Linked DNA regions of Arabidopsis thaliana. The protein of the gene in region 2 interacts with the protein of the main gene of each other region in a pairwise test. Each region holds a gene or a part of one and is shown on either strand. Other genes may lie near its edges.

Region 1 (13,294 bases), on a different chromosome or scaffold from region 2:
ATGCTCCAACTTATTCAGAGAAATATGAGGTTTACAAAAAGTGTATATTCTTGGGTTGTACTCTTTTTGGACTATACGAAGCTCTAGTGAAGAGTTTGCTTCTATTCCGAATCTCCTTCTGAAGGATGTTGTTGATATGAATCCTGAGAATCTGGCTGAATGTTTCTAAGCTGCGAGACAAAAAGCTTGGAGATGCCGTTTATAGCTGCTTGGACCTCATCGGCATTGCTTGGACTTCCCCAGACAGAAGATTGAGAGCTTAAACCAGTGTACTCGCTTGCAGCAACTTGTGTCTTCTTTGAGGTAGCAAGAACCTTCTCCAAGTCCAGTTGTGTCAATGGTCTAGGAACCTGTGAAATGTAGGTAACTCAAAGATGTCATTACTTAAAAATCAGGTGGATGAAGGGAACATTGACATTCCCTAAAAAACGGTTTATCACTTACAGAAACTCGTTTGCCCTCTTTCTCTGCCTCTAGGATTTCTCGGATTGGGAAGTAAGCTGCTTTTTTGCAGAGTTCAAAAATATCTGATCCGGTATAGTCCTCACATAAACGAGCTATACGATCATAGTTAATATCTGATTCAACACTCTCTCCTTTCAAAACAACTTTCAATATTTGCGCTCTCTCCTGGCAATCAGGCATCCCGATCTCAAATGACTGAGGAAAACGCCTCAATATCGCTTCATCGAGCTCTGATGGTCTGTTAGTTGCAGCAAGAACCATCACCCTCGCATTCTCTATAAAACCAAAACATCAAACCTCAGACTGTACATAGTTCACATGGCTAAACAGAACAATGAGGACAAGAATTTCAACTCACGGTCTGTAGTAAATCCATCCCATAAAGCCATAAACTCGGTCTTCATATTCGACATTGCTTCATTATCAGTCGACCGTCGCTGGCCAAGAAAGCTATCCACCTCATCGATAAAAATAATAGCAGGTTGGAGTTTATACGCCAAGCTAAACACAGCAGACACTGAAGAAAACATAAATCAGTAACACAACCAATAGACAGGTAATGTAATCTCCAAATCTACACCTACCAAGCTTCTGTGCATCACCAAACCACTTGCTCATCAAATTAGAAACCTTTACATTAATAAAAACAGCTTCAGACTCTCTCGCAATCGCTTTAGCAAGCATAGTCTTCCCAGTTCCAGGAGGACCATACAACAAAACACCCTTTTGAGGACCCAGTAACTTCCCATAAGCAAAAAGCTCAGGTCTTTTCAATGGTAGAATCACAAGCTCATACAAAGCTTGCTTAATTGACTCCAATCCTCCAATAGAACCAAATTCAACATCTATGTGTAATGGGTTTATTACATCACACGCAATCACATCCTGTTTTCACAATAAACAATTGAAAAGATTGGATTTTGAATACGAATTCAATCAATTAGAGAACTGTATAGAATCAAAATTACCTCGTATTGATTGGTTTGAATAAGAGGACGACCCAAACGTTTGGCGATTTCTCTTTTGTGCTCGAGAGACTTTTTAGCGGCGTCACGGTTCGGGTCAAGTTGACGGAGACCAACGTAGAGAACCAAGCTACTCAATGCAGCACTAGCGACGTAAAGTATCAATTGTTCTATGAAATTTGAATCCTTTCTCCCTGAAGATCTCTTCATATCTTTGGATTTGGGAATCAGAGAAGATTCAAAACGAAACCCTAATTCTTGAAGAGCGTTCGTTTGGGGTTGAGGATAGGGAAAGGAAGAAGAAAGCTCTAAACTGGAAATTACAGGAAAAGAACAGTTGGTGGCATTATCGTAATATCGTTGAGAATTGTGTGCATATTGGTAATTGTTTTGGAACTGGCTTAATAGGCCTTGTGTGGTGTTTCGCCAATGGATCTGAAATTTAAAGCCCTTCGAAAGCCCAATTTCTAATATTATAAGATTTTGTGAATTCTGTTTTTGTTACAAAAGTAGCATTTGGAAAAAGTCGACTCCTGAAAAATAGTCTCTGTAGTATTTCCTTAATTCCTTTATATATCTATTATTCAATACTCACTACACAATTATTTATTTCTAGATAAGATGCAAGACATACTATAGCTACTACAAGTGCAAGAGTGTTTATCGAGTTATCCTTACACGTTTCGTTGTTTCATCTCCCGTGCACTCTTTTTCGTACTATAATGGAAGTGAAAGAGTCATTGAATGATATATGTAAGAGATTTGACCTTAGCATGCATCTAACACGTCAACTTCAAACTAAATTAATATATCACAAATCAAATCCAAAACGTAAAATAATGTTCTCCTCGTCATGACTATATCTCTATGGATTATTCAACTTCTTTTACTTTGATCGTGAGGAATTTCATATGGAGATAAACTTTTTTTTCGTCAATCTTGTACAGTTAAACATTTTCCGCTAGTTAAAGAAATTCTCGTAACGGAGTATGAAATTTTTTGTGACCACATATCATCGTAGAAATTTAGACAAACAAAATTAAGAGGATGAGAGACTCGATGACTTTTATTGTATTTCAATAACAATAGAACCATGAAAAAAATACGTGCACTTACACAAGAAGCAGCCAAGCAGGTGGCCTAGAATAAAAAAAGGCGTTTGGTGTTCAATATTTTTCATCCATTTGATATTTTTATTTCTTCTCTTTCTACATACATCGAATGTTTATCTTTTAAACTTACCAAATGGATTAAAATATCGAATACAAAAGCGCCATCAATGATGATCAGAAAGTGGTTTTGGCATGGGAATCAAAATGCACGTGGCTTTCCGAGAAAGAGCGCGTTAGACAAACGCAGATCTAAAAGACCACGTGAGAATCAGCAAACAAGCAAGGTTGTGAACAATACACTGACTTCAAAATTGCGTTTCTTCTCAACCGCATCCACCATGTTTTATCATTTATTCACCAGAAAAGAAAAAGAAACAGAGATGTTGATCATGCATGTTGTTACCATTCGAAACGCTAAATTTGTTTGAAACAAATAAAAAAGAGCACCAAGTTCTTAGCCTTCCACTTGTCATTTGTCACTTTATGTTTGGGTTCTGATATTCCATTTTTATGCTTTATATATCTCAAACCAAACACATATATAGTTGGGGATGCATTATTATCCACTAGAATATTAAGAATGTTGACTATAGACAACTGTATGACATTTGAGTCTTTGAGAACTGCGAAATGGATTGATCGATGAATTTTTTAAAAATGTAGACCTAACTATATAATATCTTACAACTTTTTTAGTTTGGCCTTCCATTATCAAATAGTCTAATATTTTTTTAATAAATAAATAATAAGACTAAATAATTTGGGAGACTGACCAAAATAACGAATATTATAAGATCGATGGAAAATGGTTTAGGAAAAAAAAAATTAGACTCCTTTTTAGTTTTTAGTTTACAAAAATACATTGATGGCTGCTAAAATACATATATCCAGACGGAACTGGGACATGTAGGGATATTGAATGACAAAAGTACTTTGTGATAAGATATGAATAAATAAACCGAGCAAGTTGATAATATATTTTGTCAAATTCGTTGAAGCTAAATAAATATTACACTGTGAAAAATAAGTAGAATAGTGGTCCATACATTCTTACAGAATTTACTATATGTTGAATTCAAATCTCTCACAATGCTAATATCAATATAAATACGATAGAAAATGAAAATGACATGTTTTATTCTTCAATAACTGGTGTGTAAAAAAGTATCGTATGAAAATAACTGAAAGTGCCATTTTATACCAAATCATAGTTGCTTGGTGCGTATCGTTTGGCATAAAGTGAACTATAATTTAGATGTGAAGGTCCAATATTCCCAAGAGGCGAAGACAAAAATTGGGTAGACTTAAAAGAGTCAATTGATCAAACATGAACTGAACTTGGGTAAGATCATACTTTCAATCATTAGAAAGGATCCACCGAGAGGTCTAGCTATGAAGATAGGCATGGTCAAGCTGAGAAGGTTAGGACGTAATTAGTAAATCTTGGTTATAGATAGATAGTCATATGGTTGATCTTGCTTTCTCACACTTAACACCATCAGTTGAATCCAATGTTAAAAATAGGTAATTCTCAGATGCAGTACCTCATAAATGTTGTAAAAAAGTCATAAATAATTATTCAAAGGAATGCATGGAAGAAGTGAATTACATATTTTTAAAAAAAATATAGGAAAAGAAAAGTAAAGTTCGTACAAAAGAGAGTAGTATTATTCTCTTTTTCTTCTCCATAGGGCCTCGTAATATCTACTTAGCATACGAGGACACATTAATATTCGATCATGTATATATATGCCTACGACTACGAGACATTCGAAAGTTATTGTCTAGTGGTTTGTATTCACACAATTTCCGTGTTAACAGTTTTAGTTCCATTTCCTTCATATAGAGATCTAAATGATACTACTACATATCATTTAGTTTAAGGAAGGACGATGTAAGAAAATAAAAATCTAATATACGAGAGAATTGTAACACGTTCACTTCATAACTAGCTAGCTAGTGGTACTTACCAGTTACTACCCCAACTCTAGTCAACACTACATTAAATACTATAATGTGAACAAAATTATTTTGAACCAACGGCTGTTACAGTAGTTTATTCAACTTTATCAACCAATGCATTAAATTGAACATATTTCTGGCCGATTGAAATAGGTTGGGAACGATCTTATAAAATTCAGTCTTAAACAAGTCTTGGTTTTCAAAAATGCAAATTCATTCGTATGTTCTTGGCAAAAAATGGTTTAATTGGTTTGATCTGATCTTATCCTATCACGCAGGATTGGTGTAATATAACGCACCAAATTCGGCCAGGAAACGTCCGAATATAATAGTCCAATTCTACTTATGAATTTGACGTGTTGACGTAAAGAATCAAAAGTCGAACTTATTGAATAATTTATTCGACTTTAATTTTCTTTTGGGGTTTTGGTATGTTTGTGACCACATGGTATGGAGTTGACATTTACCATTTTCTTGATTGACTACCTAAGAAAATTTTAATTATTATTCACATTATGGAGAGTTATGTTTCCATATTTTGGCTTTAATATTAATCATGTGGTCAATAAAATAAAGAGGATAGTTATGGCATAAGATTGTCCATAATGTCATCATCTTGTTTAGTAAAAGACAGTCACATGAACCGGAATCTCGGTTTACCAAACTTTTCACTTTTTCAGTTTCACATGAATGTCACCAGATTCATTGAGTTAAACATGTATTTTAATACTATAAAAGGTTAATTAGTTATGATATCATATTTATGACTTTTAAAAGACTTTTGATATTGTAATCTGTAACTAGTTATAAGTTAACCATCTCTTATAATTAGAACAAAAAAAAACTTAATTATGGATGAACTGATTTTAATGGAAAAAATATTTAGAAATAGAAATACATTCATAATTTATATCTAAGTCTAACCAAAACACAAATCTAAAGTTACGAATAAATCATTTCAAGTGTAATTTTACTAACTATTTGACTCCTAATCTTATTTCATCACCTAAACTCCTAATTGTTATATATTTATGAGAGATAATGACATTTGTTCCTCTACATACTAATCTAATGGTTGAATAGTCATGTGTTTGACAAACTTATAAAGTTTGATTTTTCGTATGTGACATTTAGTTATACATCCATAAATTATATAACTTTCTTAGTGAGATATATGAAGGTTATATATGTGGAGTATATTCTTAATAATTAATTGTTACCCTACTTTTTTTCTTTTCGGTGACGTAACTTTTATAAAGTTTAACCCCTTAATGATTATTGTACTACATAAACCCCAAAACTCTTTTCTCTTTTCTTTTTTCTTTGTGTAGTACTGATATCAAGTCAACGTGCGGTACATAAGAACCCAAGATCCCATAAATAAATTCTTCTTGGTTTTAAGCTTTCTTCTTCATCTCTACTTCTCTATATAACTTTGAGTAGTCTCACCAAAGTCCATTTTTAAAAAATCAACTATACCATTTTTAGCTATTCTTTGGTCTTCGTTTCGTGTAAGCATTCAATGTTTTTTTTCTTTTATCTCTTTGGGAAACGGGAGTGTGGTCTTCGTGTGTGTGTCCCTGTTTCATTAACCAGTTACGTTTCATTCTCTTCTTTTCTTACGTTTACTACAGATTTCAGAAAGAAAAAAAAGTGTTTGAAGCAAAAGAGATTAATGGCAGATTCTTGAGTCATTAACTTTTTTCTAATTCTTTTAATTAGATCTCTGAACATAAGAGATAACTTGCGTCATTATTCTATGGTTATAAAGATTATGCACTTGATTAAAATAATCTCTAGTTTTCCTTTTTCTCATTTGCTAAGCAACTGTTTCTTTTTCTTCTTCTTCTTCTTCTTCAGATAATTATGCTTGGGAGTGGAAAGCAAGAAAAATTCTAAACTTTATATAAAATTCCCAGAATCAATTGATCCAAAAAGAGGTACCATTTTTTTCCTCTCGTCATTTTCCATAAAAGTAAGCTTTTGATTGATATTTAATTATTAAAAGAATCTGTCTTTTGGGTTTTTGTTTTGACAAATTTTTGTTTTTTCAGTATTGTCAAAAAAGATAATCAAGAAGAAGAAACTCTGTTTTTTTGTTCTGTTCTTGGAAAAAAATGAGGAGTATGATGATGGAGAGAGAGGGAAGGAATGAGATAGAAAGAGAAGTAATAGATGACTTGGAAGAGACGCAAAACGAAGGAGATGATTTCAAGTCAATACCTCCATGGAAGGAACAAATCACTTTCAGAGGAATTGTTGCAAGTTTAATCATTGGTATAATCTACAGTGTGATCGTGATGAAACTAAACCTAACAACAGGTTTGGTCCCAAACCTAAATGTCTCTGCAGCACTTTTAGCCTTTGTCTTCCTTAGAAGCTGGACCAAGCTGTTGACCAAAGCCGGGATTGTGACTAAACCGTTCACTAAACAAGAGAACACTGTTGTCCAAACATGTGCTGTTGCTTGTTACAGCATTGCAGTTGGAGGTTCAGTGAATTTTGACCAGTTGTTTTGACTGTTTGATCAGTTTTTGTTTGGGGTTGGATCATTGTTTTGAGCTATGTGTTTGTGTGATTTGCAGGTGGGTTTGGTTCATACCTTCTTGGTTTGAACAGAATTACTTATGAACAGTCAGGAGGAACTCACACTGATGGGAATTATCCGGAAGGCACGAAAGAGCCTGGAATCGGTTGGATGACCGCTTTCTTGTTCTTTACTTGCTTTGTTGGTCTTTTAGCATTGGTTCCTCTAAGAAAGGTAGAGATTATTTAAGATTCTGTCTCATTGAATTTGTAGTTAGAGATGTTGCGGTAGGCCAAAGTTTGCGGGTCAGTCCGGCCCATATAAGTGTGATATGGGCCTGGCCAAACCCGCTATAGCCAACATAGGACGGAGATTAATATTGGCCAAGTTTGGACTATTAATCCCCTGTTGGCTGGTTTGGGTCTACATTGCTAAGTGTTCATTATGCTTCTTTTTTTGGTTAACCAGATCATGATCATAGACTACAAGCTGACATATCCAAGTGGAACAGCTACCGCGGTTTTGATCAACGGTTTCCACACTCCTAAAGGCAATAAAATGGCCAAGTATTAACTCGATTTTTTGGCAGTCTCTTAGCTCTCTTTCACCACTAATTCTAGAGTTTTTGATTTAAATAAAATCTGTTTATATGCAGGAAACAAGTGTTTGGGTTTGTGAAGTACTTCTCATTTAGCTTCATTTGGGCTTTCTTCCAATGGTTCTTCTCTGGTGGTACAGAGTGCGGTTTCATTCAGTTTCCAACTTTCGGGTTAGAAGCTTTGAAGAACACGTGAGTATTATTCTTAGTTCTATTGACTGTTTATATATCAACAGATAGAAACAGAATCTTGATGATCTTGAAAAAACTTGACAGATTCTACTTCGACTTTAGCATGACATACGTTGGAGCAGGAATGATCTGTCCCCATATTGTCAATATATCTTTGCTTTTTGGCGCGGTTCTGTCTTGGGGAATCATGTGGCCACTCATTAAAGGTCTTAAAGGAGATTGGTTCCCATCAACTCTTCCTGAAAACAGCATGAAGAGTCTCAATGGTTACAAGGTTCCATACAAAAAACACTAGTACTCTACAATAAACTCCGCCCTTTCTTTCGCGTACTTTCGTTCTTAATTTGTTCATAACTCTTTAGGTGTTTATATCAATCTCATTGATCCTCGGAGACGGGCTTTACCAATTCATCAAGATACTTTTTAAGACAGGAATAAACATGTACGTCAAGTTAAACAATCGCAACTCTGGGAAATCTAGTAAGTATACACCAAAAAAACTATAGAAAAATCGTCATTTCAATAATGTATTATCTGATGTTCAAACGTAAATCGCAGATTCGGAGAAAGATAAGCAATCTATTGCAGATCTTAAAAGAGATGAGATCTTTGTAAGAGACAGCATTCCATTATGGGTTGCAGCAGTAGGATACGCAGCGTTCTCTGTTGTCTCGATCATCGCGATCCCTATAATGTTCCCCGAGCTGAAATGGTACTTCATAGTCGTAGCTTACATGTTAGCTCCATCGTTAGGTTTCAGTAACGCTTATGGAGCAGGGCTAACAGATATGAACATGGCTTATAACTATGGTAAAGTCGCTCTGTTTATCTTAGCCGCTATGGCAGGGAAACAAAATGGTGTAGTCGCGGGACTTGTCGGATGCGGGTTGATAAAATCGATTGTATCGATTTCTTCTGACCTAATGCACGATTTCAAGACAGGACATTTGACTCTGACTTCACCTAGGTCGATGCTTGTGAGTCAAGCGATCGGTACAGCGATCGGATGCGTTGTGGCGCCTCTAACTTTCTTCTTGTTTTATAAAGCTTTCGATGTCGGGAACCAGGAGGGAGAGTACAAAGCTCCTTACGCTTTGGTATACAGAAACATGGCAATTCTTGGAGTTGAAGGTTTCTCTGCTTTGCCTCAACATTGTTTACAGCTTTGTTACGGGTTTTTCGCATTCGCGGTGGCGGCAAATCTCGTTAGGGATAGGTTACCGGATAAGATAGGGAATTGGGTTCCATTACCGATGGCAATGGCGGTTCCGTTTCTTGTTGGAGGGTACTTTGCTATTGATATGTGTGTGGGAAGTTTGATTGTGTTTGCTTGGAATATGAGAGATCGAGTTAAAGCCGGTTTAATGGTACCGGCGGTTGCTTCCGGTTTGATATGTGGAGATGGTCTATGGATTTTGCCGTCGTCGGTTCTTGCTTTGGCCGGCGTTAGACCTCCTATATGTATGGGCTTCATGCCGAGTAAATATTCGAGTTAAAGATAGCTTTTTACGAGTTTTTACTTTTTTGTGTAGCGACAAAAAAATTAGCTAAAGAATTGTGGAAACAAAAAAAACAGTTTATATAGGAATTGTACTTTGTAAGTTTGTATACACAATAAAGTAATAAACTAGTCTCTCAATTCTATTTAAAAATCCATGTCCCAAGTAACTTCTCCCCAAAAAGAAACTCAATATTTTAGAATAAGGTCAAATGGAATTAAATTCCAGAAGATATTTGCCAAAATAGTGATAAAAATACGGTTAAATTGGTATATGTTTTTACTGACAAAAGGCAAGATTCTTCTATTTTAAGATTTATTTCTTTCTTTGAAATCTGCTAAACGTTGTTAGATCACACTTTATGTGTCTGTTTTTTTTTTTGTCAATTCAGCACACGTCATATTTGTATTTTTCAAAGTACCAAACGTGGACCAAAATAAAATCTCGTCAAAAATGGAAACCAAATTTTAATTTGATTTGCACAAAGCCCAATTTGATTTGTTTAAAGTCAAAGCCCAACTTGACCAAAACTACCCCTGCTCATCCAAACCCTAAGCAAAATATCGAGGGTAGTTTCGTATTTTGTTTATATTGAACACAATTAAGTAGGTGAGGAACCTCTATTTCTTCCGTCTTCTGCTGATTTCTGAGCTTCGGAGCTATCGAAAATTCTGAATCTGAAAGGGTAAAGATCCCATCTTTTTCCAAAAATCGATAAGGGAATTAGTATATTCGTTCATTCATCATCGTTCTGATGATTTCGATTTGAATCTGTATCTAGTACTCTGTATTATCAGAAATTTTGATTAGTAGCTTTGATGTGTTCTTGTTTTGCAGTTTGAGTGAAGATGTCTTCAGATCGGAAGGTTCTAAGTTTTGAAGAAGTTTCAAAGCACAACAAAACTAAGGATTGTTGGCTTATTATTTCCGGCAAGGTTAGATCTTGTCTCTTTGTTTGAGAACATCTCTGTTTTTTGACGAACTTAGTTCTCTTCCGCCATTGATTTGTGTCAAAGCTTCGATTTTAAAGTTGTAGAGTTGGATTGTTACTGTTAGAAGCTTTAATCGAGCCCCTCGTAGATTTAGTTGATTCTATGTTAATTCACACTAGAGAAACAGAGTTTGTGTCTACTACTTGGTTATGATCTGTGATTGTTGCGTTCTTTAGGTGTATGATGTGACTCCATTCATGGATGATCATCCTGGAGGCGATGAAGTCTTGTTGTCCTCAACAGGTATAAAACTTGTGTTTCTCTCTGATTCAAGGCGGATTTGAAGCGGCTCGGTGACTGTTTCTGTTCTGATGTGGTGTTTTGTTTGCAGGGAAAGATGCTACAAATGATTTTGAAGACGTTGGTCACAGCGACACTGCAAGGGACATGATGGACAAATATTTCATTGGTGAGATTGATTCGTCTAGTGTTCCAGCAACTAGGACATACGTTGCACCACAGCAACCAGCCTACAACCAAGACAAGACACCAGAATTCATTATCAAGATTCTTCAGTTCCTTGTTCCGATCTTGATCTTGGGATTGGCTCTTGTCGTCCGTCACTATACCAAGAAAGACTAGAAGAAGCCAAAGGCTTGCTTTGATGCTTGTCATTGAATATCTCTACCGATCTCTGTCTATCTCTCTTGCGAAAAAAAGTACTGTTACTGTTGTTTGGTCTTAGACTGATTCTTGTTGAAATTACGAACCAAAAATCATTGTGTTGCTACTAGTTTTACTGTGTTGAGTTTATGATGACAGTGTTTTCGACTTTGATGATATAATAAAAGACTGCTTGATTTGCCCAAACTTAAGCTGCTTGATAAAGAAGTGAGAAACTGGATTTCTACAATTGAACAAATATGTTTCATACAATTGTGGAAATGACAGTTTCAGACTCATCCGTTACATTTTAACAAGAATATTGCCTTGTCTTTTTCATTAGTACTACAATAAAAGCGATAAGGATAGTAGTATTGTGTTTTCTCTGTGTGATGAGTAAACAAAAAGAAAGAAGAAAGAAAGAGAGGAGTGAAAACGGTAAGAACCAAACCGCAACAAACTTTAAACCTTGAGAAAACGCAGCCAGACGAGTGCAAGGGCTTTTGTGTAGTGGAAACACTTCATTTCTGGCTTTGATCGACTTCTTCATCAAATACTCTGTGATTGAGAAAGAGTTTCAATCTTGTCGTGAAGCGTCACGACAAGATGATGGGCATCATCAAGAAGCTTCCAGACATTAAGCTGACCAGCCATGCTATTACACTCTTCCACAATCTCATCCATACTACTGTATTTCTGTATGATCAGTTTCCTACGTAGTACTAACGCCGCGATTGCATAGAGCAACAAATCATCCGTTGGCGGTGCTTGTTGCCGGATTCTGCTCCATGGCGACTTCCCAACTCCAGCTCTAATGGCAGCTTGATCAGCCCACATCACTTCCCAGAGACACAGCGTCTGTTCAAAACTCAACTCCCTCCTAAACATAACAAGCACCATCCTGTAAACGAAACTACAATCTTCTGCTTGAAGATTCTCCAAGTGTTTATAAAGCTGAGAGTCTTTATTTTTTATGATCTTTGATACAATGCTTAGCTGTCTTTGAATCCCTGCTTCGTCAAGCCTGAAATTGTGCCGAGCTTTCTTCATGAAACCAACAAAGCACCAGAAAGCCTCGTGATCCTCTGAGATCACAGCGAGGATTGGAGATAACAGATCACTCATTCCTTGACAGTAGCCTATCTCAGGATCATACATAGCATAAGCTTCAAGAATTGCAACTAACCGTGCTGCGTGGTATAGCCTGCAGCTTTCTAAGTGATCATAGTCTTTTAACCCGACAGATTCGGCTAACCTGCGAGCTTTGCTTTCTGTGATTGCTGTTGAATATGGAGAATAATTTGCCCATTCAGAATCCGCTCGTAAAGCATCAAGCCGGATGATACGTTGCCACGTAGAGAAATCTTCGTGTACCGCAACTTCTACTTGGACCTCAGAAGCAGCAGCTACAAGAAGAGAACTATTCTCTTCAGAATTGTTATTACTATTATCCTCCTCCGGCTTTTTTTCATCGCTGTGTGCAAAAGATGAGAGTAGTAAAACATCTTCATTATCTTCACAAGAGTCTGTATCAGAAGAATCAGTGTTCAAAGCAGAAACAACATCTTGACTTGTCATTGGTCCTGTAATCTTATAATCATCCACGAACCGAACACATTGACTGTTTGCCTCATCAGATGGAAGCTCCTCAAGATTATCGGTACTTCCATTACCGCACTTGAGAAGCATCTGACATCGTCTCTGTAGTTTCTCATACTCCTTCCTACAATTCAAAGATCCCAACAATGAAATTATCTATCAGCATCTAAATACAAACATTGACTATATATAGATCAAACTAAATACTAACCTTTTTTGAGTTTTCACTGCTTCTCTTTCTTCACTAGTACTATTCAAATCATAACTGCCATAAGAGAAAACAAGTTGAGAATCTCAACAGAGTGAATAAAAATAACCAAGACCATAAAGTCAAAACAAGAACAAACACTCACACTCCGAGTAAGAACAGCCACACTTCTGCACGAATACTTGGATCAACACCCTACAGAACCATAAGAACATAAATCAGAACCAGTAAAGAGACAAGTAAGAAACAAGACATACATATGGTCCTTGTTCAAAAGACTCACTCTGCTTCTAACTTTCTTCAGGAATCCAACTCCACCATCACGGAGTTTTCCCTCCGGTGTAAATAAACTCCTCCATTGATGTGGCGTCAATGCCCATTTTCTTTTCCGGCGAGACCACGGTGATTTCCGCCGGCTATAAACAAGTCAAGAGTCAACATTAGAAGCTTTTACAATATCAAAATCAACAACATTGATTGCCAAAATCAATCTAACAGCAAAACAAATAAACAATCCGAACAAACATAGAAACTTGTTAATCTTTATCATACTTTCCAAGTTGTGAACATTC
Region 2 (11,481 bases):
ACTGAGAATGGCTCTGCAGATGACAGCAAGACAAATGGCTCCGCAGAAGATGGCGAGAAAGAATTCAAACAGGTTAAAAGTCGTAGAAATAGGAAAAAAAGTGAAGCCGCACATTGATACTCTCCACTACAAACACCAACAGAAGAACACTTAAAATTTGGAGATTTCTTAGAATTGAGATGATTTTCGACATTACAGATTGATTCAAAAATCTTTACTTCTTTAGGTCTGTTTTTTTTTTCCTTTTCTTATTATGGAATATTTATTGTCACCAGACAATTTGTTTCTTCTTCTTATATTCCAATTTTTTTATTCGAATCTTTACTTTGCCCTTGCGAATACGTAAACGTATGACCTGGTTTGTTCGGTTTGCGAGTTAAAGTCAATTTGAAGAAAAAGAGTAATTTAAGATAAGCTAATATGAAATCTGATCTAATGTGGCATTTCAATATTGTAATATCTTGCTTGATAAAGAGAAAACAAATAATGCGAATGCGGCATCTCTCTCTCTTGTCTCCACGTCAACGATTTTGCTAGATTTGATTCCAATCCCTTTTCCAGCTTACCTACCTTTTCCCTCAAAAAATTGTGTTAAATATGGCTTCATCTCTTAAGAAATACTTTCCATTTTGGAAGTAATTTCCTAATTTCTTAGCAAGGAAAAAAACCTAAAAAGGAAATGACTATAACATTTTATAATGTAAAAGGATTAAAAAAAAGGGTAGAATATCATAATTATCATTTTTACATTGTTAAGAAACTTATTTATGTATCCATGGTTACTTTTGTTTATTTTTTATAATTAAAACAAAAAAAGTAATTCCTTTTAATTTATCATTAAATTCGAAAGTATAAAAAGCGTTGGACCACAATCCATTCTGAGAAAAAACCCCATCCTATGAAATTTAACTCATAAAAGTGTCAAAATGTTCTTGAAAATTCAAAATTTATCATGAATAAAACTTTAAATATTTCTACTCACTATTCTTATTTTTTAGTATATATATCTATATATTATATTTAGAATCCTTCACAAAAATAATTGTTGCATAATACTCATTGGTTTTACACGTTTTCTGGGCTCAAGTTTTGTTCCAATTTTTTTGATATATGAAAATTCTAAGGTCTATAAACATATTGGATGCAATGAAAAGGTCTAAATAAACAAAATCACAATCTATCTTCACAACAATTTCTTAGAAATTCAAACTTCACATAAGTTGTTTGAATCCTTTTTTAATTAAAAGGATATATTTTAATATGAGTTAACTAAAATAATTAGACACTTAAACCAAATTAAAAGTAATAAATTCTTTACTTACCAATCCGGTGGAGACACGTGAGCCCCTATGGCAATAAACTTATAACCTTCTTCCGCCACTGCCTATCACAACACCTATTAGCTTTGATGTGTGGTGGACAGTGGACTTGTAATGATGGTGAGTGGCCTATATTCATTATTCTTTTTAGAATCATACAAGAGTTTTTGCTTAAAATGTTTATCGAGTCACGGCTATTATATTTTTTCTGTTACTATTGTATTCATTTTATTCTTAAAGACAAAATTAAAATGACTCTGGCCCTCTCTCTCTTCTCTCTCTCAAAATTTTCAGAGAGAGAATCAAACCAAAATTTTCGACGACGGTAAATTGATGTCGTCGGTGATGGTTGAATTGCCGTCCGGTGTAGTATCCGGCTTTCGTCTGACATATATTGGCTTCCACAGCAGTACATGGTCGGCCCTTGTCTAGCATCATCGGCTCTTTCAGCGGTGATGGCTAGCTCACGGTGTTAATCCGGCGTAGTTCGGTTTTCTTTTCCTTTTGGTTTATATCACGGTTACGTTTCGACCGTTGATTGTCTTTAGATCAGAATTCATTGGGTATGTGTGTTGGTGATGGCGTTGGTTTTCAGTCCAAGCTTGCTTAATTAGATCTAATTCCAACCTATCCTTTGAGTTTAAGGTTTACGGATAATAATTAGGCAGTTTGCGTTTTTGAGATGAAGATTCAAAGCTCTTTCCTCAGCTTATTATGATTGCCTTTAGCTGTATCTCTTATATTCAAGCTTCGATTGGGTCTAAGTAACAGAGGTGGTTAATCGAAGATCTTTTTTCTCTTTTGAGATTAATAGATCCGTATTAGATCCTTACTTCTGTTTTGTAGTTGTTGGAAAAATTCAGATGAAGCTAATCTTCGAGTTTCATTCGACTTAGTTTCAGTTTCCGGCAGAATCGATGGCTTCACGGCGAAGGATGATAGATGGAAAACTTTCGTCTCCTCAGGTTACATGTGTATTCGATGCTAACACGTGTCTGAGATATATTAGCTTGATCCAATCTTCTTCTCTAAATGTAATGTTGGGCCAGTTGGACTTAAAATAGTCTCTGTAAACCGTTTTATGTTGTTGGGCTTTTGCTCGTTCGTTGTATGTTATGTTCATCTTAATAAAATCGTCACTTGTGAAAAAAATAAAATGACTCTGGCCTTTCTAGTTTCTACAATTAGACTCTCTCTACTCAATAATTTATAATCTGGTTCAAAAGGATCCTCTGAGTGTAAAAGCATGATTCACGTTCTAACATGTAGATGATTTGGGAATAATACAACAAGTGTGGATCGGAGGATGTTATTAGACACGCAAGAGGATCCACACACCCACTAGGACACGTGTTTACAAGTCCGAGCTCTGACATGCTTCACGTTCCCGCGACAGTTCGTTGTCACCGTGTAAGAGGAGGTCTCTCAGATCTCTGAGCTGGCCGGGGAGGACCACGTACCTTACCCGTTAGCCAATTGGTAACACTTACGATTATAAAATAAATTACTTTGTTATGATAAAAATAATATTGGTTCATGCGATGAAGATATATCACGTTCGATTAAGGTTACAGAGGAAATTGAATTTTCAAGAATTGATTCTTTTTTTGTTTGTCAATATATAATTTGGATATCTAGATTTGCCATGGAATATAAAATCATTAATTTGAGTTTGGAGGAGGACGTCGACAGAAAAAAAACTAACTATTAATAATTTTGAGTTCCTCCATTTTGAGTTGTCAAGTAAATATGAAGTCTTATTTTATAACAATCAGTTGAAACTATTACTAATTGAATACTTGGTCGATTATCAATGATTTTAATTTAATTTCTCTCAAAATAGACACATTATTTCTATTTTGAAAAGAATAGAACCAATCATGAATAACAACACACTATAGAACAAGTTATAAAAATGATAAATACGTATTGGAATGTTTACGCATTGTAGGACCTGAGACAAAGAACCATAAGCCCATTCCTCTGAACTTAAACCGAAACAGAGCAACACGTGTCTCCTCCGACACATGTCACCTTCTCCGTTTTTAACGCTGATGCTAACACGTAACTTGCCAGCGAATATTATAACAATTTATTTCATAATAAGAAAAAACTGAATTCTGTTTTTTTAAATACTAGTAGTAGGAGCAAAGAAAGAAGCAATAATAGTGGCAAAAAGTAAGGAGACAAAGAAATTAAAATAAAAAAATACAAAGCCGTACAAAAAACGTGTCGACTCGAGGGATCATCTGATTGCCACTTGGCACTTTTCACACATTGGCTATTCTCGTCGCTTTCTTTTCTTCTACGTGCCCAAAACCCAACATTTATTTTATTCTTACTCAACTTTATTTTATTAATTTTCCTCAACAACATAATAATTAATTAATTAATAGATAAACTTTTTTATATTATTTTTTTGATATAGGAAAGAATCTAATTTGATTACAATTCCATTTTTTGGTGAATATTTTTAAGAGTAAATAGAAAATAATAATTACAGGGATTTCGTTTTTAATTGTACATGTTAATGATGAAGAACTAAATAAGGTATTGTCAAGTAAATGGTAGTGAATATTCCGACTTGTGCTCAAATTTGAGTTCTCTTTCTCTGTCTCATCCATTTAAACTTTTTTTTCTTCTGTCTCCCCCATTTGTAATCAATAGTAACGAAACGTGTCTCGTCAATTTTTGTCAATGGACTAAAGAGAAACTTTTTTTTCAGTTCTTGTGAAAATATTGGATTATTATGGATCGTGGCATAAAAATCTGATTACTGTTTCATAAGCTTCCAGTATTCTTTTTTGTTAATGGCGGAAGCAAACGAGAGAAGTAAAGAAATGGCGAGAAGTAATAGTTGTGTGTTTCCAAGAGATCTGCTTCAGAGATTTATCTCTAACTCTGTTGAAGGTGAAGATGATGATGAAGAAGAAGATGATGATGAGATCGAGTTAAATCTTGGCTTATCTCTTGGTGGAAGATTTGGTGTTGATAAGAGTAATAAGCTTGTGAGATCTTCTTCCGTTGTTGTAACGATGCCTCTGTTTCGTGAAGATCATCATCATCATCAAGCGGCGGCGATGATAACAACTAAGGTTTCGACGGAGACGGTGGCGGGAGCGACTCGGGGTACGGGTTTGATGAGAACGACGTCGTTGCCGGCAGAGTCGGAGGAAGAGTGGAGGAAGAGGAAAGAGATGCAGACTTTGAGAAGAATGGCAGCCAAGAGACGGAGAAGCGAGAAGCTTCGTACTGGCGTCGGCGGAGGAAACAGTAATAATCCGGAAGAAGCTGCTACTGCCACCGCTTCGAGACGGCGAGGTAGACCATCGTCAGGACTTCCACGGTGGTCAGCGACTGCTAACAAAAGCGGGCTTTTGCGGCAGCACAGTGCTGGTCTCGATTCACTACAAGTTTCCGGTGAATCTCTAGGCGGAGGAAGAGCCGCCGGAAGTTCTTCGAGCGTCTCCGAGTTGGAAACTAAAGGTATAGTACTAATCTCTCTAATCTGCTCAATCATTAACATGAATCTTTTAAATTTGTTGAAACTTGAGTTAAAAGTAATTTGATGTAACATATCATTTAGATTACTTTTGCTAGATAGCTTAATGCAAAGTTTTCGCCTTTTCGCAACCCGAAAGGTCGTTTAATATTGATAATGGATCAATGTTACTTAATGAACATGTAATGTTTTGGTGAATACAGCGTCCAGTGACGAAGCAAGAAGCTTACCATCAACTACACAGCCACAACAAGAAACAACGACAAAGCCAACAAATCGTTTGAGAAGATTGAGTTCAGTGGACATGAACATGAAGATGGAGCCACAAGGGAAAGGAAAAAGTGAGATGCCATGTGTGTTTACCAAAGGAGATGGACCAAATGGGAAGAGAGTTGATGGGATTCTTTATAGATACGGCAGTGGAGAAGAAGTTAGGATCATGTGTGTTTGCCATGGCGATTTCTTGTCTCCGGCGGATTTCGTTAAACATGCCGGTGGTCCTCATGTAGATCATCCTCTTAGACACATTGTTGTCAACACTTCTTCTCCTTCTAATCTCTTATAATAGACCAAAAACCCTCTAACCAACCCTTGTTTAGAGAAGATGTTTTTAAGAGTCTCTGGTCATTTCTCAATTTTTAAGTCATATATGTATTTTTTACCTGCTTTATACAGAGAGAATTAAGGAGAAAGAAACATCATTTATATCAGTTTTCAAGAGAGTAGACTGAGAATAACATTTTGATGATGCATATGAAAAACCTCCCTAGCACTGAAAATATAAAAAACAGACTTGAGAAAGATTCTAATGGCTAGGCACTTGTTTGCTGCTGTACAAATCCTCTAAAAACACCTTTCTTCTAGCTTTGTATCACAATCTAGAAGGCTGGATTCGTTTCAGCAGTCTTACAGCTTGTTTCATTGTCGGCCTTATCGAGAGGCTATCGACGGTGCATTTGAGTGCCAAATGCAGAACCTCGACCAAATCGTCTGGAGGACCAGTCTCCCATAGTCCTGTGGTGAAGACTTCTTTCGCTTTGCCTTGACTCAACATCATATGAGCCCACGAGACAATGTTGAACCCGTTCTCATGCGATGAGAAAGAAGGATCCAGAGCTCGTTTGTCCGATATCAGCTCCAAGAGGACTATCCCATAGCTGTAAACATCTGCTTTCTCCGAGACTCGGCATGTCATTGCGTACTCTGGAGCTACATATCCGAATGTTCCAGCCACACCAGTTGTGACATGAGACTGCGAAGTTCCCAAGAGTTTCGAGAGTCCGAAATCAGATAGATAAGCGTTGTAGTTGTTGTCCAAGAGTATGTTACTCGGTTTGATATCTCTATGCAAGACTTTAGGAGAACACTGTTCGTGAAGATAGGAGAGAGCACGCGCTACATCAAGAGCAATCTTGTGAAGTACCTTCCACTCAATAGCAGCTTTCGATCTCTCTTTAATGAAATCTTGAAGGTTTCCTCCAGATAAGTAGTTGTAAATAAGAAACATCTCGGTTTCGCTCGCATGGTAACCGATTAACATAACAAGATTCGGATGCCTAACCATCTCAAGAGCAGAGATCTCAGCATGAAACTGTTGATCACCTTGAAACCTCCCAACAGAGAGTCTTTTAACAGCAAACACATTCGTTGGAGACACCTCTGCTTTATAAGTCGAACCGAAACCGCCGTGACCGATACAGTTAGAGTTACTAAAGTAACCAGTAGCTCTAACAATGATCTCATACGTCAGAGGAATACCAATGTCAACAAACACTTTAATCTCCTTGATCTCATCTACCTGAACCTGAGAGTTTCGTTTCCATTTCCTCGTGTAGATGAACAAGATCACAAGAACAAGAAGCACAAAGACAATCACTGAAGCTGACACAATAGAAGCTATCTCAATCGGATACAATCCAGATTTACCAGGAGAATCATCATCAGCTGAGCTTGGACCAATTTCATCTTCATCCTCAAAACTCATAAGTTTCCTAAGAACAACATTATCAACAACCCTAATTCCACCGATAAAGTTGTTACCTTTAAGATCAAGAATCTCTAATTTCTCCAACCCCCAAATCTCCTTTGGAATCTCACCTCTAAGATCATTAAAAGACAGAGATAAAACCCTAATTTCAGACAAATCTCCAACAACAGGAGAGATTACACCACCAAGTCTTCTTTTACTTGAAGAACAAGAAGACAAATCTGGGAGATGAAGAACACCACTACCTTCAAGCTCATCACAGCCTCTGAGAATTAAAGAAACGACTCTCGAATCAGAGTTGCAAGAGACACCGTACCAAGAACAATGGTTTGATGAGCTGTCGGAAACCCAGCTAGACAGAACTCCATTTGGATCCAAGAAACTACTCTTCAACTTCAACAGAGCAGCTTCGTCGTGGAGACCACCACCACTCTCGGTTAAAAGTTTCCGAGAAAACGAAAACATAAACAGATTAAACAGCAAGAAGACCAAACCCAGAAGTTTCATTTTTCTTCTTTTTCTTCACAAGAGAAAGAGAAAGAGACGACGGCAAAATGAACAAAGAAAATCAACAAAACCCTAAAATAAATCTCTTTTTTCACAAATTTTTTTGATCTCTCCCTCTCTCTCTCTCTTCCTTCGCTCTCGAAATCGAAAATTTTCAAGTTGCAAAAGAAGAAAGTTTCTTTACTCAAAAAGAAAATGACATTAAACAAACAATTTTTTTTCTATGGCTCTATTATCAAGACACATAATAAATTTAAAAAAAGTTCTTAAACGTATTGGAAACAGTCAAAGAAGAATGAATTTCGAGGAAAAGAGGAAAAAAAGAAAGAAAAAAATCTCTCAGCTTTTCTAACTTTTCTTCTTTTTTTTTCTCCGTCCTTAAATTATTGAAATTTCAAAACATGCTAGTGAAAAAATTACTTAGATATTATCCATTAGAATTATATAAAAAATTATTTTAACTTTTTCTTATTTATTTCTAAAATTGTCGCTTGTATTTGTGAGAGATAAATAGGATAGTGTTTCACTTTCAGCGGTGTCTCTCTCGGGTTCTGTCGTTAAAATTTTGTCGTTGTCAGAGAGACTTTATAGAAGAGTGGGACCCAGTGAAGTCAATGTCTGAATGTATTAATGTAAGAGAGAGAGAGAAGTGAAAGACCACATGGCTGCTTCTGGTTTGACCAGGCGGGATAGGTCGTGGGACCTGCACTAGTCTCTTTATTGGTCCATGATTAGATTCCAAAATCGTTTCTTTCATAACGATTCATTTTTATTTAAGTTAGACGTGTATTCCTCTGTGTATCATCGTCATTATGACGTTACATTTTGCGTCAGAAATACATATATGGTCCAAATGTTTTTGTTCTTTTTGTTTATATCACACGACTCCTTTATGTCCATATTTTAGAATTGTAACCGTTGATGCCTTTAACCAAATTGAGTACTAGAAGAAGAAACTAGCTAAAGTACGATTTCGCTTTACAAAGAAAAGGAATCACAGTTGTACTTGTGCAGATCTTATATCAAGAAAAAGAATCTTGTAATGTGTTCAATATCTTTCTTTTTTTCACCAATGTGTTCAATATCTTATCATATGTTTTGCACATAATAAATAAAAATGTTAACATATGCAATGGGTAAGAACATCTAACAAATTTTGGGACATTTTGTACAGTAATTATAACAAAAATGAAAAAAATAACATCTAACAAAAAGTGGATCTAGAATTTTTTTAGCTGAAAATAAATGATCTTTTCATTAATGAGATGTAAACAAGTGTAATAATTTACTAAAGATAACAAAATATTAGACAAGAAACGTGATTTTGTATTGACGTACAGTACAGTACGTTTATCTGGAAGCACGAATGAATAGAAAATAAAACGTTACAAAAATACAGTTTATTGTGAAAAGTTGTAATATATAACAAAAACATAACTTATTTTTATTGTTTAAAAGTGTTTATTCTTAAAAAATTAACATGTGAAAAATGTATAATAAAGACTCACACATCTCATTGATTATTTTCTGTTAATCTGCTAATTTATATACCACTTTAATTGTAAATTAATATATTGTCAAATATCTTGAAATATAGTAATGATGCCGTTCTTTAGAATTCCGATCATTTTGAAACACTTGACAAAAACATGGACCTTTAGGAGTAGTAGAAAGAAATATAGTTTGCAATATTAATAAGAAAATGTGTGATTTAGTAAAAATAAATGATTTGTGTTAATGCCGTTGAAAGATTTAATTATAAGTTTATAACCTATGATGAAACTCACTAATTTCATGTTATTGTCAATAAAATAATTATATGTACAAAGTTCCAAAACAAGGAGTTATATAAAGATACATAGCTCATTTTACACATATATAAAATCTAGTTATTAATTCCTTCTAAATGACAAGGCAAAAAAAATGATAAGTGTCAATATTTTTTATTTTTCTATTGAATTTGTAAATATATAGATTAATACCGTAATAATAGAAATCAGATCTATAGGGAAAACTGTTAAAACAGTAATGAGATGGGAAGAATTACACACATTTTCACGTTTTGCCGACAATTTAGTGTTAATACTTCTTACATATATTTTGTTTATATTAGCCAACAAAGTCAAATTGATTATTCCTTTCTCCTTTTGACAAATCAAGTTGATTACTTCTAGCTAAATCTTTTTTTTACTTGAGAAGTTAAAACACTTACATATCTAAGATGTCGACGTGCATTCAAATATACATCAACCTCAATGGATGATCTATGTTGTTTTTACACATATTTACCACAAGATAAATGACTATGCATGTGACCTTTAATCTTTATTAAACCTTTTGTTTCCGATAATTAAAGTGTAGCAACTCCTTTCTCCTTTTGACATATCAAGTTGATAACTAATAATAGCTTATATAAAATTTTACTTGATAAAATAAAACACTTCTATCTAAACTCTCGACGGCCAATGAAAGAAATATAAAATCAATGGGTAAATCTATGTTGAATTTTGTTTGATATTCATCTACCATAAGATTTGTGAATATTGTGACTTCAGACCTAATCTTTATTTAAACCTTATAATGCTAATACTATTTTCAAACTTCACCTGACTTGATGATGATAACAGAAAAACTATATTGTTTTTTTTTTTTTTTTTTTTGGGTAACTGCTCTCAATAGGCAAGAAACTTTTACATTTGTAAAATCTATTTTTTTTTACCTTTAGCTAAAGATTAAAACAGAGTTGCGTAAGAATCTAATCTAAAGTTAAGAAGAAGAGCAACAAGGAAATCAACAAAACCATTGATGAGATGTTTTAAACTCTGCTTTTTGCAGTCTCTGTTCGTCATTCCCTCTAGTCATCTCATCATCTACTACCTTCTTTGAAGAACTGTAGCAACACAAAGAAAACTCGGGTAGGCTTTTCGATTGAAACAATCACAGATTAAAGAAGACCAATGTGAGAATCCGGAAGTAGCGATCTACCTGGAACAGCAACAGCAACTCCAACAGCTCCAATGGCAGCAGAAGAGCCAGCCACAAGAAGAATTGTAATCACAACTTGGCCATCTGCACCAGGAGAAGCACGGGCAACATTTTAACCGTTTGCAGCAAAAGAAGTTGTAACCACAACTTGGCAATCTGCAGCAGGAGAAACAAGGTCCAGTGTTCTTGCAACACAACCAAGAACATCGCTTCTTCTGCTTCTGCTGTTGCTGCTGCTGTGTCATCTTCTTCTTTGTTGCTTTCTTTTTCTTCTTCTTCTTTTTCGTTCTTCATGAAAAGAACAATTAATCAAAAATAAAGTTTTTGAAGACTACTACAATGAGATGATGGTATAAAGTAACGAAGCTCACATTGGATATGAAAATGACTGTGTGCTGCTTGGTGTTTCGTCTGAGTTATTGCAATCTCCGATGTTCCTCCACGATACATTTGAGTTCGATGACTTATCCTCACATTCGCCACTCGCTTTGTCCTCCATATCAAAGCTCTTTCCTAGATCAGAAGAATCAGCCGGACCATGAATAGCAGGGCAGAACGATAACAGCTCTCCCGATTTTGTAATCTCTCCAGACTTGAAATCACGGTAACTAAACAACTCATCTCTTGCTATCGTGTTATCACCTATGCTGAGACTAAACAGAGAATCATTTGAAAGTGTGCTCAAATTCTTCTCCAAGGTAGGTAACGAGTTTCTCTCAGGTTGATCAGATCCTTCTCTATCCATCATTTGAATCGAAGGAGATAAAAGCAAAGGCTCCACTGAAGCATTCGTTACACCAGACACTTGTGACCCTGGTGTGTCTGATGAACCTTGTAACTCGAATAATTTAGAAGACAGGCTAAAGAGCTCCTTATTGTGTAGGCTACTATCGAAAGATAAGTTTGATTTCCTTCCTTTTGCATTGATCTCGTGTATATCCTCTGAAGAGGTTGGAGACAAGGAAAGAGATGTGGATCTTCTGGTGGTGATCTCTGGATCTTCCTCGAGACGAACATCACTGACCCCATAACTAGCAATGCTCCCCAATTGGAACAAAACCGGCTTCTCATCATTCACTTCTTTGATCGTTGGTCTTGGCTCAAAACTCTTATTATTATCTGATTTTCTATGCTTCTTTAGATGATAAGCCTTTCTATTTTTTCCTTTCTTGTGATTCGTT

The links.
Region 1: the proteins of RPK1 (region 2) and YSL3 interact in a protein complementation assay, tested with the Arabidopsis thaliana proteins (one large-scale study listed by BioGRID).

The regions. Positions count from the first base shown.
Region 1 is NC_003076.8:21,749,460-21,762,753, forward strand, and holds YSL3 (YELLOW STRIPE like 3), read left to right. Parts: upstream 1-5,791; 5' UTR 5,792-6,266; exon of another isoform or gene 6,267-6,364; 5' UTR 6,365-6,444; intron 6,445-6,533; exon of another isoform or gene 6,534-6,558; 5' UTR 6,559-6,621; coding exon 6,622-6,994; exon of another isoform or gene 6,995-7,089; coding exon 7,090-7,265; intron 7,266-7,499; coding exon 7,500-7,597; intron 7,598-7,686; coding exon 7,687-7,821; intron 7,822-7,905; coding exon 7,906-8,095; intron 8,096-8,183; coding exon 8,184-8,301; intron 8,302-8,379; coding exon 8,380-9,317; 3' UTR 9,318-9,474; downstream 9,475-13,294. Other genes in the region: AT5G53540 (P-loop containing nucleoside triphosphate hydrolases superfamily protein), read right to left, coding at 102-350, 445-740, 824-982, 1,050-1,350, 1,434-1,640; CB5-E (cytochrome B5), read left to right, coding at 10,169-10,255, 10,489-10,555, 10,644-10,894; AT5G53570 (Ypt/Rab-GAP domain of gyp1p superfamily protein), read right to left, coding at 11,465-12,638, 12,726-12,779, 12,868-12,917, 13,006-13,138. UniProt on the Arabidopsis thaliana protein: May be involved in the lateral transport of nicotianamine-chelated metals in the vasculature.
Region 2 is NC_003070.9:26,035,185-26,046,665, forward strand, and holds RPK1 (receptor-like protein kinase 1), read right to left. Parts: upstream 7,519-11,481; 5' UTR 7,316-7,518; coding exon 5,693-7,315; 3' UTR 5,505-5,692; downstream 1-5,504. Other genes in the region: AT1G69250 (Nuclear transport factor 2 (NTF2) family protein with RNA binding (RRM-RBD-RNP motifs) domain-containing protein), read left to right, coding at 1-117; AFP1 (ABI five binding protein), read left to right, coding at 4,130-4,805, 5,025-5,386; AT1G69280 (uncharacterized protein), read right to left, coding at 10,106-10,205, 10,301-10,588, 10,672-11,481. UniProt on the Arabidopsis thaliana protein: Involved in the main abscisic acid-mediated (ABA) signaling pathway and in early ABA perception.